Caenorhabditis elegans: one gene and its partner. The protein of the gene in region 1 interacts with the protein of each later gene in a pairwise test. Each region holds a gene or a part of one and is shown on either strand. Other genes may lie near its edges. The genes, in order: ubc-8 and rnf-1.

What was found.
Region 2: the proteins of ubc-8 (region 1) and rnf-1 interact in a two-hybrid assay, tested with the Caenorhabditis elegans proteins (one study listed by BioGRID).

What each region holds. Positions count from the first base shown.
Region 1 is NC_003282.8:2,702,564-2,711,760, reverse strand, and holds ubc-8 (UBC core domain-containing protein), read left to right. Parts: upstream 1-4,522; 5' UTR 4,523-4,529; coding exon 4,530-4,585; intron 4,586-4,634; coding exon 4,635-4,711; intron 4,712-5,158; coding exon 5,159-5,307; intron 5,308-5,478; coding exon 5,479-5,626; intron 5,627-6,624; coding exon 6,625-6,845; 3' UTR 6,846-7,020; downstream 7,021-9,197. Other genes in the region: Y94H6A.10 (Ulp1 protease family, C-terminal catalytic domain containing protein), read left to right, coding at 1,095-1,640; Y94H6A.5 (RNA helicase), read left to right, coding at 7,791-7,943, 8,260-8,451, 8,706-8,797.
Region 2 is NC_003279.8:6,006,848-6,015,469, reverse strand, and holds rnf-1 (RING-type domain-containing protein), read left to right. Parts: upstream 1-3,883; 5' UTR 3,884-3,999; coding exon 4,000-4,006; intron 4,007-4,058; coding exon 4,059-4,132; intron 4,133-4,180; coding exon 4,181-4,355; intron 4,356-4,401; coding exon 4,402-4,593; intron 4,594-4,643; coding exon 4,644-4,786; intron 4,787-4,830; coding exon 4,831-4,947; intron 4,948-4,994; coding exon 4,995-5,078; intron 5,079-5,126; coding exon 5,127-5,213; intron 5,214-5,259; coding exon 5,260-5,361; intron 5,362-5,430; coding exon 5,431-5,595; 3' UTR 5,596-5,688; downstream 5,689-8,622. Other genes in the region: ints-1 (Integrator complex subunit 1 RPB2-binding domain-containing protein), read right to left, coding at 53-552, 922-1,323, 1,585-2,251, 2,477-2,841, 2,900-3,162, 3,217-3,412; C06A5.8 (RING-type domain-containing protein), read left to right, coding at 5,952-6,000, 6,050-6,129, 6,180-6,354, 6,481-6,678, 6,730-6,974, 7,140-7,244; C06A5.2 (uncharacterized protein), read right to left, coding at 8,175-8,312, 8,388-8,516, 8,569-8,622; C06A5.12 (LEM-like domain-containing protein), read left to right, coding at 7,911-7,972, 8,026-8,101.

The DNA of each region.
Region 1 (9,197 bases):
TATAACTTAAAAAATTACTTTTCAAAAGAAGCTATGTAATACACAAGTACCAAATATTTTATGGGTTTTGACAAATATTAATTTTCAATAATTATACTCCGTTTTCTGATTTTTTATCGAAAAAAATAGTTTACTCTAAAGTCTTTCTCAGAAAATATCACTTTGCAACTGATTATTGATTATTTTGCCGTAGGACTAAAAGTTTTCTTCAAAACTTTCTCCTTTTTTCAGTTAACGTTATCACAGTGGTTGCGAAATTTTTCGATAGTTGCAAGCGCGCTCCCCTGTAAACGGTCTGGAACTTTCAGCTTCATTTGTCAGCATTCTGGATTGTTCCCTAGAACTCCTTTTTGCCCTATATAAGAAGCCGGTGTTGCTCAATCGAGGTACTTTCTTTTTAATACTTTAAAATTTGTACTACTCCGTTTTAAAAAAAAAAGTACTTACTCTGTTTTTAATTTCTTAATCTTCAACTTTTTTTTCTCATTCATATACACAACGTCTGAGAGCTATATGTTTAAACTTTAATAGAATGAGTTGCTTGCATTACATTTTTCCATTACTCCATGAAAGTAGGCACAGCCTCAAAGCATTTATATTTGGGCAATACTGTTATTTTATCATTCCGATTTTTTTTTCAATCTTCATGAAGGCCTTGTATTCTTTCATATTTCCCATGCTCTATTCTCCCGTTCAGAATTGTAGGGGCTTAAACAATCTACCTCCACTGCACCGTTTTGTACCATGCCCAAGGATTGAATAAGTAGGCTATTCGAAATATACCATATTATGTCTGGCCTTGTTGCAGTCTCCAATAATCTCGAATTACCTTTTTGCGAGACGGTCCATACTTTGTGGCAATTTTGACAACTTTCTGATTTAGTGGGGGAAAAATTTTCGAGCCCCACCGTTTACAAAAACAGTCCGCTGCCCACCTTCTGACGGTACATTAACTTCTCTCACATAACCACATTTCCTTTGTTTTATGTAGTTTTCATAGATTTTTGAAAGTCTTCCGTTTAAAGCATTATCTTGCTGGAACTACGTTATATCTTACAATTCCCTACAGTACGATATTTCTTTGTTTCAGCAGAATGGAGAGTCGTGTTCGTCCGATAATAATCAACGACCCAAATCAGTTGTGTGTTTACATCAATCTTCATGACGAAAAGAAACCAGAGAGCTCGAGCAAGTCGAAAAGTCCATTGAAAGATGGACCCGATTCCCAAAGAAGCAACATCCGTAGAAAGCTTACAACGCAAATGCAAAAGCAAGGCTGGGAATGTGAAGCTCACATTACCTCGTTCATTTTTTACAAGGACATGGCATCAGACGACAAAAAATCAGATCCAGTTGAAAAAGCTCTCAAAGAATCAGATCTAGTTGAAAAAGCTCACAAAGAAATATCTGTCGCGATTGAAGAAACAACGAAAACTTATGAGGGAGCACAATTTCAGTACGGAATTATGAGGCCACTTACGCGTATTAGAATGTTTGAAGCCCGCCAAACTGTTGAAGAGCAGCAAAACAAGGCTCATGAAGAAGGTATGAAGACCGAAATCAAGGAGGAAATCGTCGAGGAAGGCAGCCCGTTCAATTTGAATGATATGAAGAATAACCTTCCATCAACTTCTTCTTAATCCAGGTGCTTCGTAATAATAATTGATATTTTTTTGATTTTTGATTTTAATTGATTTTTCTGTGTTTCTTTTTTTAAACTAAACTTACAAGCATGTTTTGTTTAAGGTTTATTGGTTTAAATGAATATCTGAATGAAAAAAAAAATATGTGAATGAATAAATAATGTGAATGAAATATATTTAAATGAAATGAATATATTTAAATGAATATGTTAAAATTGAGAAATGTTTTGTCACTGGCTTTGGAAACAACATGAGCATACGGTATTCAATGGTTAGGAATATGGTCATACACTATTGTATTTTTTCTCGTCTCCCAGAGAGCGTGATAAATTATTAAATATGTATAACAAATTCCCATTCAAAAGTTTCTAGAATATTATTTGAATGAAAAGTTGTTTGGAATATTTGGGCTAGAATATATCCCTGCTATTTTTAATATTTCACATCGTTATTTGTCATTGAAATAACGTCAGAAAGTCCAAAATGGAGTAATCCTCTCATCATTTTTTTGACTATATCGAAAACATTATGATACATTTATAATATGAGAAAATCTTGAAAATGTCTTGATTGAGGTATTGTATTTCTTATATCTGAACTCCAACTGCTAAACATTATTTTTAAATTTCCGCCAATTGGATTTGTTCGGTGGAGCGTGCTTGCATTATTTTTATTTATTAATTATATTTACTCTCGTTATTTGACTGATTTTCTTAATTTTCTATGTTTTTTCATCGGAAAATGAAAGAAATAAACAAGACAAATGCAAAATGTTTGTTAAAAAGTAATTGAAAATGCACAAAACTATCAGATTTTGAGTTCCGACGGCAACAATCAGTCAAATAACGAGAATAAATAAAGATTAATTGATAAAAACAATGCAAGCACGCTCCACCGAACAACTCCAATTTGCGGAAATTCAAAAATAATTAGGGGGGAAAACTGTGATTTTATTTTTTTTTAATTTTTAAAAAATCATATAAAATCAGGGAAATTTTTTTGAATTTTTTTATCATGATATTCGGTCATTGTGGTACCATACGCGTGCTTTAAAGCAATTTCCCCACTGAGCGTAGTCCACCTTTAATGTATTTATTTTAAATAGAAAACATATTAAAACTAAATTTCTGAAAATGAGCAAAATGTGTTGTCAATCTAGAATACGTGCAAAATTGAACTTTTCTGCTTAACAAATCCCAAAATGTCTAGAAAAGCCGCGCAATATTCTCTAAAAGTTCATCGTTCTCTCCCCCCTCAGCTGTTTGTATGCCTACTGCGCGCCCATTCGTCTCCCCATGAAATCTCCGCGTCTCACGATCCCTCCTCTCTCGCTGCGCGTCTCCACAAAGTGCACACTCTCTCGCGTCTGTTGTCTCGTGTTTTCTTTTTCTCTGTCCTGTCTAACCCACTCTCTCACTTCCGTGTACTCTCTCTCGAGTCGCAAGACACGGCTGGCTGCCGGGGGGCGCACGCAGCACAAGACAACCAGCCGACGACGACCCGCGCCCCGATGATCATATGTTTTTCGTCCAGTTTTCCATCGATTTTCAACCGATTTTAAGCAGTGTTTTGCGCACTTTGAAGCGTGGATTCTGAGAGTGCTGTAGACTTGGATACTGCAGCTATACGTGGCAAAAATCCCGTGTAATTTGGAGCATTTTGAAGAGGGTTTACACCGGTTTAAAGTACTATCAGTTGTTTTTTTAGTTGTGTAGGGTTGTGAGGGGTACTGTAGCTAATTGATGATAACGGTACAGTAATCCTGAGTACTGTAGAAACACGTGGCAAAAATTTTGACCATTTTGGAGCATTTTGGAGCATTTTTACGGGGAGCTCATTGAAGTGTTTTGGTGTTGATAGGAGTGCTGTATCTAGGCTAGGGGTACTGTAGCTAACTCAAAAACAAAATACAGTAACCTGGGGTACTGTAGGAACAGATTCTGGAAGTTTGAGAAAATTTAAAGCATTTTGAATAGTTTTAACAGAACTTTTTATGAGTTCAATTGTTGTTTTTTTTAAATTTATTTTGATGCCATAAAGGGTACTGTAACTGGTCTAGGAGTATTCTAGCTACAGTAATATTGAAGTACGGTAACCTAGGGTACTGTAGCAACATTTTCTGAAAATTTGAGAAAACTTGAAGCATGTTTAATAGTTTTAACAGAGGTTTTTCTGAGCTCAATTGCTGCTTTTTCGTAGTCTTGATAGCATAAAGGGTACTGTATTTATGCTAGGAATGCTGTAGCTGACCCAAAATTTTAGTACAGTAACCTGGGGTACTGTAGGAACAGATTCTGGAAATTTGAGGAAACTTAAAGCATTTTGAATAGTTTTAACAGAACTTTTTATGAGTTTAATTGTTGTTTTTTGTAGTTTTCATGGCATAAAGGGTACTGTATCTAGGCTAGGGGTACTGTAGTTACATCAGTATCTGAGTACAGTAACCTAGGGTACTGTAACAACATTGTCTAAAAATTTTGAATATATTGGAATGTTTTGAACAATTTTACGGGATTTTTTTTGAGCCAATTGAATTTTTAAATGTGTTTCGGAAGCATTGTGCTTACTGTACCTAGTCTAGGAGTACTGTAGCTACATTAATATTTGAATACAGTAACCTGGGGTACTACTGTAGCAACATTTTCTATAAGTCTGGTGACATTTGGAGCAATTTGAGCGAGGTTAAGCCTGGTTTTGGCCTGAAACTTTATTTACGTGTTTCCGGGTTACAGTAGTCTACCGTATCTCAGGGGTACTGAGAAAATTTGTTCAAAGACTATTTTCAAGTCCATGTATGAAATTTTTTTCCTTTGACCAAAAAAAATTTCTTGAAATTTTTTCCAGAAATTTTTTTTCTATCTGAAAAAATCGATATTTTCAGACCCGATGACGTCAGCCACCGCAATCGGAAAACGCCGTATAGACTGTGACGTCGTTAAGCTGTAATTGAATTTTTCGGAAAATTCCAAAAAAATCGATATTTTGTTCCAGAATTTCCCACAACCATGAAGTTCAGATTGTGAATGGGTGCAGCGAGTTTATTGTCAGATTTCATGGGCCAAAAGATAGTACGTCATAAAATAGAGAAAAATTGAATATTTTTGGCAAAAAAATCAGAAAAAATGGCCCAAAAATGACTGAAATAGACTTGTTTTCGCGCAGTGGCCGAACTTTTGCTTTTTCTAGGCCACCAGTTGAAAAGTTAGTCCCCGAAATTTCGATGTGACAACTTAGATTCCTCGTAATACCTGGAAATCAGAAAAAAACAGCTGGGGACTAGTTTTTCACTTGGTGGCCTAGAAATCCAAATGTTCGGCCACCGATTTTCTAAATTTTTTTAAAATGATTTTCATCGTTTTCTAGGGTGGTTTTTGTGGTTTTAAACGGTTTTTCAATTCGAAAATTCGAAAATTTCGAGAGTTTTGCCCATTTTCCTCCAATTTTAGGAAACTTTTCCCCAAAAAACTTCAATTTCAGACAGGTTTTACCGATTTTTCGAACAAAAATTCTTGCAGCTGCCTACGAGAATGGTGTGTGGAGAATTCGTGTCGATATGCCGGACAAATACCCGTTCAAATCGCCGTCCATCGGGTTTTTGAACAAGATTTTCCACCCGAATATCGATGAAGCTTCGGGCACCGTATGCCTTGATGTCATAAATCAGGTAGGAATTGGTGGCCGAAGTGTGTGGAAAGTTAGTCCGTGACTATGTTCTTAGTCATTTTAAGTAATTTTAAGCAATTACCAGCCCGCGGACTAACTTTTCACTTGGTGGTCTAGAAATCCGAAAGTTAGGACGCCGATTTTTTTAATCGGATTTTCATTTTTTCTTCAGGCCTGGACAGCCCTCTACGATCTCACAAACATTTTCGATACCTTCCTGCCTCAACTTCTCACCTACCCGAATGCAGCAGACCCCTTGAACGGAGAAGCCGCCCGGTTATACATTCACAAGCCAGAGGAATACAGAAGAACGTGTAGAGGTGCGTTGGAACACTAAAAAATCAATATTTGCATTGAAAAAACCATGAAAATCGACCCAGAAAGAGCGGAAATGCGTTGATGGCCGAGTTTTGGGGTTCTAGGCCACTAGTTCATTTCTTTGAGTTTTTACTGTCATTTAGTATGTTTATAACACGATTTAGCTTTAAAAACCGGTTCACTTATACTGGGGGACTAGTTTTCCACTTGGTGGCCTAGAAATCCCAGAAACTAGGCCACCGTTATATTTTTCGATTTTTTTTTTGGGGGTTTCAGTTATTCTCTGTAGTTTATACGCTGAAAAACAGTTTTTCTAGAAAGAAGTCCACAAGAAAAACCAAAAAAAAATCGGTGGCCTAACTTTTGAAGAATTCGGATTTCTAGGCCACCTCGGGTATTATATTTTTTTTTCACGGTTTTAGTAGGCTTTCAACCCTGAAAAATAAGGGAACCAGAGGAAAAAAATAGATAAACACACGCTTCGAGCCCAGTTTGGAAGTTGGTGGCCTAGAAATCCAAAAGTTAGACCGCCAACTTTTTTTTACAATTTTGATTTTGATTTAACCATGTTCTAAGCTTATTTGTGTAAGGATCTCAATTTTCGCGAAAAAAATTTTTTTAGAGAAAAAAATGTTGATGGCCGAACTTTTGAATTTCTAGGCCACCTACTCGAAACTGGCCGTTTTATTTTATTTGGAGCTTTTTTTAATTCAAATTATTAAAGTATATTTTAATCCTTTTTTTTAATTCGGCAAAAAACAATCGGGGACTAGTTTTTCACTTGGTGGACTAGAAATTCTAAAAGTTAGGCCATCATTTTTTTTTTTGCTTTTTTTTTGCTTTCTGCGTACTTTTTACGGTTCTAAGTGGTTTTTGAGGTTGAAATTGCAAAATTTTAAGAGTTTGAGCGAATTTTTCCATGTTTTTAGCAATTTTTTGATCAAAAAAATGGAATTTTGCCGATTTTTATCGATTTTTTTAAATTTTTTTTTATTTTCAGAATACGTAATGCGATTTGCAAGTGAACACCGTGCCATAGAAGGATGCTCCCCGGGAAACGCCTATTCCATATCCTCAACACCCTCGGAGCACTACGATGGTCACCCGCAGGACGATGACGACGAAAGTTGTAGTTCAATGTCGGAATTTGATGAAAGTGAAGTGAACTTTGATGATTTTGATGCTGACGACACAATGACTGTAGATCAAATGGAATTTTAATGGGGGAAATATTCGGAAAACTTTTATTTTCCGCTTAAAATTCTTTTTTTTTTGTTCAATTTGTCCGATATTTCCCGTGAAAATTAAGTCAAAACTAGTTATAAATTGAGATTTTTGAGCAAAACTCACACTAGAATGATGCAAAAATTGATGATGGCCGAACTTTTCTGAAATTTTTTTTTTCTAGGCCACCAAGTGCAAATATTTATTTTCATCAATCTAGGGGTAAAAATGCTCGAAAATTTCAAATTTTCCACTCAAATCTCTTCATTTTTCCCATAAATCACCAATTTTTTTGACCTCAAGCCCCCCCCCCCCCCCAAATTTTCTCTTCAATTCCCCCCGAAATTCAGGATTTTTTTGTATTTTTTCCCAGTTTCTTCCTTCTTCGTGTGTCCATATCTTCGTTGCCCCCGTTTTTTTTCTCGTTGTCCTTACTCATTTCCTATGAGCACCTGTGTAGAATGTGTAGAAAATTGTAAATATTATCGATTTTTCCTTTTCGCGGACTGCCTTTCCCTGTTTTTTTCGCCCAGGTTTTCCTGTATTTTTGTGAATTTGTTTTTTTTTGGAATTTCTCGCTAGATTTTGTGTACATAATAAAGCTTTTTCATGAGAAAAACAGGCATTTTCAGAAAATTATTAATTACACACAGAAAAGCTGAATTTCCCCTTGGGGTACGGTCAACATTGCCTCTGACGCGCATTGTACGCAAACACGCCACCCCTCCAGAGTGCACACAATGCAGCGGAACCTACGCGCAAATGATTTTTTCAACGAAAAATTAAATTTTAAATTCAATTTCCGCCAATTTCCAACCGAATTTCTCGATTTTTCTTGTAAATTTTGATTTAAAATTTTAAAAATCACCTATTTCTTCATTATTCGTCAATTTCCGCGACAAATTTCCCGCTAAAAATCGATATTTTCGTTTCAGGGTAAAAATGGCGTCGGACGACGAGGAAGACTTCACTCAGCTGCAAATTAATCAGAATAGAAAGCATAAAAAGGCCGGAGGATGGCAACAAATCGGTTTGGACCATTCGGTTTACAAGGCGATCGAGAAAAAAGGCTTTAATCAGCCCACGCCGATTCAGGCAAGGATTTTCGCGAAAAATTAAGGAAATAATGGCTTTTTGTAGTGGGAAATGGAGTGAAAAATTGTGAAATTTTTGATTAAAAAGATTAGAAATTCTTTAAAATCAAAATTTCCCGCGAAAAATTTAAATTTTTGAAATCACTTAAATTTGACATAAAAATCGATTTCTCCACTATTTTACCAATAAAATAGTTTAAAATTTCAATTTTTAAAGCGAAATAAGCTTGAAAATCTGGTTTTTAGCCCTCAAAAACCCGCAAAATCCCATTTTCCCCAGAAAAAAGCCGGAAACCCCCAAATTTTCCAATTTTCAGCGCAAAACAATCCCGTGTATTATGGATGGAAAAGATGTGGTGGCCATGTCACGTACAGGATCCGGAAAAACCGCCGCTTTTGTGATTCCGATGCTCCAAAAGCTGAAAAGAAGAGATACGACTGGAATTCGGGCTCTTATGGTGTCTCCGACACGAGAATTGGCTCTTCAGACGTTTAAAGTCGTCAAAGAGGTGCGAAAATTGATGAAAATCGAGGAATTGGCTGGGAAATCTGGATTTTTACCGCGAAAAAATGCTCAAAAACTTTGTATTTTCACTTGAAAACTGATTTTTTTTCCGTTAAAAATCATTAAATCGGCTAAAAATTCATTTTTTTTCTGCCTAAAAATGTTGCTTTTTCACTTAAAAAGTGTGAATTTATGCCAAAAATCTCAAAAATTTAGCTGAAAACCCCGAATTTTCACTCAAAATTGCTCATTTTTCAGCTCGGCCGCTTCACAGGACTCCGTTGTGCTTGCCTTGTCGGAGGAGATCAAATTGAGGAGCAATTCTCCACAATTCACGAGAATCCCGACATGTTAGTGAGGATTTTTTCGACGAAAAAACGCCGAAATTTCGGTCATTTTGGCCCAAAAATCGAACAAATCCGATGGTTTTGCGCAGAAAATTGGACGGTTTTCAGCGTTTTTGACCCACAAAATGCAAAAAATTGCAATTTTTTAGGATTTATAGCTGAGAAGCCTAAAAATCCAAATTTTAAGCTTAAAAATCCAAATTTCAAGCCTAAAAATCCAAATTTGAAGCCTAGAAATTCAAATTTTAAGCCTAAAAATCCAAATTTTAAGCTTAGAAATCCAAATTTTAAGCTTCAAAATCCAAATTTTAGGCTTAAAAATGCAAATTTTAAGCTTAAAAATCCAAACTTTAAGCCTAAAAATCCAAATTTTAAGCTCAAATTTCCAAATTTTAAGCCAAAA
Region 2 (8,622 bases), on another chromosome or scaffold:
CTTTTTATTTAAATTTTTTGAATTTTCCATTCAAATCGGACACTTATCTTACCTATTCGGAAATTCCATACTCATTGCAGGTACCGCTCGTTTCATATTCTTCTCATACATTTCGATGACTCGTGTCTCCACGTCAACAGCGACTGCTTCTTCGTCATTCATCATTGCAACCGATTTTCCTTCAAATTCAAGCGGAAATTCAAATTTTTGGCACAAAATGCAATGAATTAGATATCTCAAAATCGGATATTCCGAATAGATTTCTTCAAAAAATGAAATAATCTCTGTTCCAGCAGCAATCCATAAAATAATAGTTGTCCACGCAGTCCAGTAAAACTTTCGATTGCATATTGGAGGATCCAGGCGTGGCGCTTCTTTTCTTGGAAAAATTGTCATTTTAAGATATGAATCGATGAGTTTAAATGGTTCTGTGATGCGAATTAATGGATTTGTGGTGATTTTTGGATGAAATAGAGCCGCCCGTTGAGTTAGAGCCGAGATCAGATCGATTTGTGATTTTTGTGGAAGTTGGGTGGTTTCTTCTCGGCAAATCTGGAAAAAATAAAAAATTTAAATTTATAGTTTTCGAAAAAAAACATTTCCAATATTTTATATCATCTTCTTTGTTTTGTAAATTTTCTGATTGTTTTAAACAAAAAAGTGTTCTAGAATTTAAAAAAGAAACATTTCAGACGTTCGGATTTTCAGAAACTTTTAATTAAAATTGCACGAAAAAGCTACTCTTTTGAAAACTCAAAAATTCTGAATGTTTGAAAAATTTCGTAGAAATAACAAACCAGTAAATTTAATGTCTTTCTAACTTAAGCAATTTTCTAATTAAAAAAAACAATAATTTTTTGATTTTTCCCTAAAAAAATGATTAAACGTTTATAAAAACCATTCAGTTCTTAATATCCTTACCATCAGAAGCATATTCTCCGAGACTCCACATTCTCCAAAAATTCGAATACAATTTGAAATTTCTGAATCTGTAACTGCAGCCATTTCAATTCCTGTATAGACATCTCTTTGTGTTTCAAGATACAAAAGAATCGAGAAACTTCGAATGAAAACTTGTTCATCAAAGAATAAATTTCTTGATTTCAATAATTGTTCAATCACTTTCTCGCAATATGAAATGAATTCACATTCAAATTTCTGACGAGCCAATCGTGCTTCTACGGGTATTAGAGGAACATCTCCAGTGCCTGTCGGAACACTGAATTTAATGGAAAATGCATTTTCACGAGTTGTGAGCAGTGAAGATATTGTTGCAAGCGGGAGTTGAGCAATTAGATCCACTGCGTAGCTGAGGATTTCGTCCTGAAATTAGATTTTCGGTTTTTTAAATAACGCTCGAACCAATTTCAAATGGAACATTGTGAAAACTATGTCATGTTTTTCTTCTGAATTACAGCAGTTTTTACCAAATTCGAAGCATCAAATTTAGCGAAAACTGCTGAAATGCAGAAAAAATAGACAACATTTTTGTAGCTTTTGGGGGGAAATTTCGAAAAATGACATGTCGGTTGAAATTTTCTTTATTATTTATTTCAAGGTTCCTGGATTAAAATCTAAATTTACCGGTTCTCCTCGCCGCTGAACTTTATTGAATAATGTCTCCGCAAACACTGAAAATGGGAAATCTCCGGATTTTGAGTGATAAAATCCACGAATGAGCTCTCGCATGAAAGCTCTGAGCATTTTCACGCAATTTTCCTTTTCTTTAAACAATTCCTTCGATATTATTACTGCTAGAGCTTTTGTGGCTTCTGTTGGTTGATTTTGAAGGATCATATAAATTGTTTGTAGATTGGTGGGAGATCTATTTTGTGCTGGTCCAGTTTCATTAATAAAAAGTGAATCCAATACAATTTCGACATTCCTTGACACCTCACAAATCGTTTTAATCGCTTGAGTGAATGGTCCAACCACAGTTCGTGTTTTCATATTTTTCGTGTTCAATTTCAGTAGAATATCGATGATTTCCTTGTCCAACTCGTGGTTTTCCGCGTTAATATTCGACCCGATCACTAGCAAAAGCTCACTGATTTCTCGATGGAATTTCTGAAGAGTTATCCAAATTTCCAGACGGTTCGCAATGAAAAGACGAATGTGCTCGTAGCCACAGAGAAGGCAGAGAGCACGGAAAAGAGGTTTTGGAAGAACTTCACCGCGAATTGTGTCGAACCAGGGCTTCAGGAATTCCAGAAAGACGTCTAACTGCTTTTGGTGAAGATTCGAGCGGGGACTGAAATCAAAAATGTATTAAAATTAAAATTTGACTTATTCTTTAAACTGTTTTTTTTATTTCCACTTTTCTAACACAGAATAAAAATTTCTTCTGAGATTTTGATAAACTTTAAATGCTTTTCAGCTAGTATTACACCGTTGTTTGTAGATGCTGCTTTTTGTTTCTGTTTAAATTAGGAAAAATATAAGCGAAATTTTTTCTAAAAAATCGTAAATTTATTACCTTTTTTCCCTCGACTTCCCCACTTTTTCAGAGAAGAAGCTCAAAAATTCGGAAATGGCAAAATTCTCAACCTGGCACTGCGCATACATTGCCGGAAATGGATAGACAGTTTCAAACGGATCCAAAATCATTTTCACAAGCTCTGCCGAGCACTCTTTTTCAATCCAGGAGCATCGATTCATTGTGCCGAGTCCAACGCTCATTCCAATAGAATCATGGAGAAATGCTGTTAGATAACATTTATCAAGAATTGGTTGTTGCCTTGCAAGTGAAGTGATTATTGAGATGAATAGTTCGAGAATATTGTCAGGATATGATCGAGAATTGCAAATTACGAAGAGCAGAGCGCGGTGGAGAGGAATTTGCTGAAAATTTTTCAATGATTAGAATTATTCTCCAAGTTTTTGTTAGATTTGAACCAACATTTAGCTTATCCCCATGATTTTTTACGGTTTCCGCAATTGTTCCCATTATTCTGAGCTCCACTTTCAACTTTTCTCCGACAAAGAAGCTCTTGAGCGCGGCGACGAACATTTTAGCGATTTTTGTAAAATGGCCCGCTAAAATCGCCTCCTGTACGCTTTTCTGGAAGGTTTCGATGTTTAAATTGATTGTATCTCCAAAATCTTTCCATTGATCATCGAGATTGGGGCGAACGAGATGGCTGGATTGTAGGGATGGATTTGCTGGAAATTTGTTTAATTATTAGGTGTTTTCTGGGAAAAATTGAAAATTTTTACCGGAATTACTTAGCGTTGGCTTTGGTGGAATACAAGTTTTTGATCTAAAATCCAACTTCGCTTTAACTCCTCCAGAAGTTGACGGTCCGCCAGTGCCTCCACTAGTCGTCGGGAGTTTATGGTTCAGTTTCGCCTTTTTCATGTCCTCCGGCTTCATAATCGTATCATTTAGGCGTTTGTGTTTTTTACGTTCCATTATTTATAAGATTCTAAACGAGAAACTCTTAAGATTTTCCGGAAAATAATGATAAAAACGGTTGTGAAATTGAATGAGAATAAAAAAACGAAACAAGCACGAGTGAGGCAGGTGCGCTCCAATGCGAATTTCTTTGCGCGGATGTTTAAATGGTTATTTTTTTATGGGAATCGACAAGTCACATGCTACGCTAGAGAGAGTTTTACATTTTACAGTCTTTTTGGAATTTAATAATATATATATTATCATAAAATCGAATAAAAATTGTTTCGAATAATGAATAGCTTTGTTTTTTCGTCTTGACTTCTGAAATAATTTTAAATTTGAGAAAAATTTGTGTCGCAATATATAATTATTAATATTATTAATAATGTAATTTTTTTATAATAAACTGATTTATATTTTAAAAACAAAAAAGGAATGACAATTCAGTTTAGTTTTATGAAAAACTTTGAAAAGACAAAAATAATTACAGTAAACGCGCTCCGCTAGACTCCCCAAATTTGTTTTTGTTTTCCAGGCTTGTGTCCAGGCAAATTCCAGCTTTCTTTTTGTTTCAGAATTTCTAGGTATTTATCTCCGTGAAAATGAGCGGTAAGATTGACAATCTCGAGTTTGTATTAAAATTTATTAAATTTCATTTCAGAAAAAAATACCGAAAATCCAGAAATTCTATCAACAGTCTTGGCTGGGTACTGCCAGTGCCAAGTCTGCTATCAGGTACTAATTTCCTAGTTTTACTCAATTTTCTACAAAATATGTTTGCAGCCTTTTAATGAAACCACAAAATTGGCTCGGTCCTTGCACTGTGGCCACACTTTCTGCACAGAATGCATCAGAAACGTGCAAAACTACGGTAATTCCCCACATTTAGAGTGCCCTACTTGCCGTGCGGAAACTAAAAGCAACATCGAAAATGTAGCACCAAATTTTTCAATTATGGGTAAGTTTTACCTCTTTTGAGTATTGAAATCCACGTTTTTTCTCAGAATTGGCAAGGAATTTCGGGCTTCTGGGTCCTCCAGTTGACGCTCCGCGAACTTCCTCTAGTTGCTGCTCAAATAAAACGAATAGAGATGAAATGATTGATAATAAATTCCGCGAGCTGCTTGTTGAAGTAAAAAGCAGTCTCATTCACCATTTTGACGTTTTCCGCATCAAATCACAGCTATGGAGTCTAGGCAAAGCCAAATGTGTATAAGTATTTTCTATAAAAACTGAATTTTTTCAGCAGAAGCCGAGCGAGAGGTCAGCAACATGGCTGAAGCCTTGGCAGGGGCTGTTTCTGAATGTTATTACGATTCTGACGACAATTCTGATGCGAATTCTGAGGATCAGCGAGTTCGAACTATGCTAAGGTTCTTGGCAGCAAGAGTTAGTTGATATTTTCCATGCTCCCTTGATTTGAAAATTTTCAGGACAGCGATTCTGAGACTACAGAAGACTCAACAGATTTTCTAGAATCAAATACTACTGTCCCGGACAGAACACTGGGTGGCGGTTTCTATCGCAATTTTCGTCGTCTTTTTGGAGACGTTAGTTTTCATCGAGTTAAACATTTAGAATAGAAAAAATCTTTCAGGAAAACGAACTAGATGATCCAGGTGTGGTTTCAGGTATTGAGGAGGCGGCCGCCTACCGACGTTTTCGAGGACTTTTTGGAAATGTAAGTGTCACTGTCGACAAGTTTATATTTTAGAAAAAATGTTTGCAGGACAACGACAGCATTTCGCAGGTTTCCACAACTTCCGGCAGTTTTGGGAATCATGAGAATGATCATTTTTGTCCGTTTTCCGATGACGTTAGTAGGACTTTGAATTCGATTGTTAATCTTTTTTCTAATTCAGGATAATATCTCCGAATGTTCCGATGACTACTATCCCACATTGGTTATGCCTGAAACAGATGAAGAGGAGACGTACAAAAGTTTTCGCTGCCTTTTTGGAGATGTATGTAAATTTATTGTCAGACGGCTATTTTTTAAACTAAAACAGCTGAAATTAAGAAAAAAATTCCAGGAAAACGGGAACCTCGACTTTTCCGACGACGAAAAAGAATTCTCCGACAATGAATCTTCACTCAGCTCAGTTTCCACTGAAGACTTTCCGAATTCGCACATAGAAGAAGCCGGCAGAGTTCTTCACAGATTTCTTCTGCTCTCTGCTCTTCTGAATGAAGAATAAATTACTATATAATTCAATTTTATCCCGTCTCCGCCTGAAATTTTTGTATTGTTTTACATGTTTTAATAGAGAAAATAAAGATCTCTTCTTGTTTTCCCCTGAAAAATCTGTGCGATTTCCTTTATTTTATTTTCGCTTTTGTTTCTCTTCAAAAGTGTTTTTTTTTCTCATTCAAAAATTCAGGACTTTCAAGGGAACCACATTTATTTGGAAAGGTCTCGCCGCGAAATCATAATTCAAACATGGTTGTTCATGTGCCTTTAAGATTACTGTAGAAAGTTTTGGAAGAAGTTTTGAATTTTTTTCTCCTTTCTTTCCCAAAAATCACCTACTTAATTTAGCATTTTCAGCCATAAATGTCCGCAACAAAAAGTGAAATGCCTGCGGATGTGGCATCTGTAACAGGTAATTTTTCGTTTTTATAAGATCTGGTTCCAAAATTCGAAAATTCCAGATAGTTCGGCTGCGTCGCCTGCATTCCCGCTGATAGGTGATTTTCTCGAGGAGTTTCTCAAATGCCAAGTCTGCTGCACTGTGAGTGCCCCACTTGTTTTATTGTTCAAAAATTAAACTTTCCAATTTAGAATTACAATGAGACGACAAAGCTGGCTCGTGGTTTGCATTGCGGACATACGTTCTGCACGGAATGTATCAAAACAATGCAAAAATACGGAAATTCGGCGTATTTGGAGTGCCCGTCGTGTCGCGCGGAGACTAAATGTGATATCGCGGCTGTTTCGACCAATTTTGCGATTATGGGTGAGTCAGGGAATGAAAAATCGGTTTCAATTCATTTATCGCAATTTTATAAATATTATGCAATGTATCCTTGCTTGTATTCTAAAACGAAATGTTCTAAAAGCTAATTTTCACTATTTTCTCCAGAATTGATTCGAAAATGTGGTTTCCTTGGACCGGAGAAGCCTGAAGAGCCGCCAATGAAACAAGCCGCCCAACCACAATTGGAGCAAACGATTGACGAGCTGATCGATGAAGGATATCGACTTTTGATTGCTGACGTGAAAGCGGATCTGATGGCAAAATTCGAGCAACTTCGCGATGTATCAAAAACTAGTACAATTGGTGAGGAAATTAAATACCTACCGATTTTTTGAAAAATAATGCTATTATCAGAAGCCACGAAGGCAGACCTCGAAGTTTTGTGCGATTCAGTGAAAGAAGCTGTATATGAAGCTGATTTGGAATATTCCTATGATGAAGAGGAATCAGATGAAGATGAAGAAGAGAATGAAGACGAAGAAGATGTCGAGGAGGAAGAAGAAAAGCCTTGCGCTGAAAAGAAAAGTCCTGCTCAGCCAGAACGAAGCTCGTCTCTCGTGCGAGGATTCCAGATCGGTCTCAGTCGGCTTTTCAGAAACGTAAATCATTTGCAGTGTTACGATTTTCCCGACTTAGATGCTCTGATATCTGAAACATTTTGCAATGTGACCAAAAGGAAAAACCATTTTTCGCTACCGCGTAGCAAATATATGATATCTGATTTTGAATGAAATTTTTCGATAACGCTAAAATCATTTTTACAGCGAAGAATTCACACGGAGCACCTTCAAGTCGACCACGGAGCGATCGCTACCAAATTGGAAACCAGAGCCGCTTGTACAGAAAAATCTGATAATGTGAAAAAATAAATATTGCTTGTAAATATCCAGTCATCGCTATTTTTAACTTATTTTCGAGATAACTTTTTGCATGTAAATAAATAATCGAAGACGGGCAATTATTGTTATTTCTCTTTTACCCGATTTCCTGAAAAATGATAAAGAGCAAGTTAGTGAATTCGTGTGTTTGGTCTTATTAACCGCCGCCGTATACTTCATTAATAATTTGTATATTTTTACACTTATATTTAGTCATTACGGTCCCATTTTCTATCAGTTAAACGAAATCCCCAAACGATTATACTCCATCTAAAATGTTAAACATGTTTTGCTGCAGCAAATACAATAATTTTATTCACAGAAAAAACCAAAAAACTTTCTTCGAAAAAATATTTTTTAAACAAAAGCAATGAAAAAGTTTGATGATAGAAATGGATCCAGCAACGAGAAGAAATTTTAGCTGTGTGTGCCTTTAAAGAAATGGTACGGTGTGAAATGGTCTCGCAGCGAACATGCTTCCGAGACATTAAAATGGACCGCCCAGTGTATTTGTTGTTATCTACTGGGTGGTCCATTCCCCCCAGATAGATAAAAATATATTTGCGATCTTATTATCGATTATTTCACCTGTATTAAATGTTTCTCCAACCTGAAATTTTCAGATTACTGCTGGCAATAAGAAAGGTAATAATATCAATGGTCTTAAGCATAGATGTACCACTCAAAGCGTCGGAAGAAGCTACTGTGAAATTCCTATTGTGAGAAAATGTGTCTTATGACATAATAACATAATAATACTGTTCTCTTGCAGAGAAATAGCTTTTGGATCTCAAAAGAAGCTCAATTTGCAATCAACTCGTCAGTGTTTAAGCCACGATGTTTTTCAAGTAAGTCAACTCATTCAATGGATTATTTTTTTTTTTATTTTATTCAAAAGGGGATTGGAAAAGATCAATAAAGTTAGGCTTCAGCATTTTTCTTCTGTTCGGTGGGATGCACGAAAGCTCCGTAGACTCTTTCATCTTCGCGTGGGATTACGGCAAGTAGGGGTGAGAATGCAATTTCGAGCATCTCACTGTCCACTTCTTCGACTGTATCCTGAAATGATTAGGTTTATATGTAGGCATTAGGCAGCCGTATAGGCAAAAAGTATTTTGTCACAAAGCATTTTACCTGACAATTATTGGTATCCGCATTTTCTCCTTGTGCAAACTGCCCACCCATCAATGCTCTCACATCAGCATGAGACATCAACTTTGTCAACTGAGCATTCTCCAAATACTCGGTTTTGTCATTGTTAATCTGAAAATTTCCCGGTGAATTAAAGAAAAGTTTTTAAAATGACCATGCTCACCGATAACTCTTGCTGATCAATTTGTCCGTACTTGAACTTGTACTTATTCTTCTT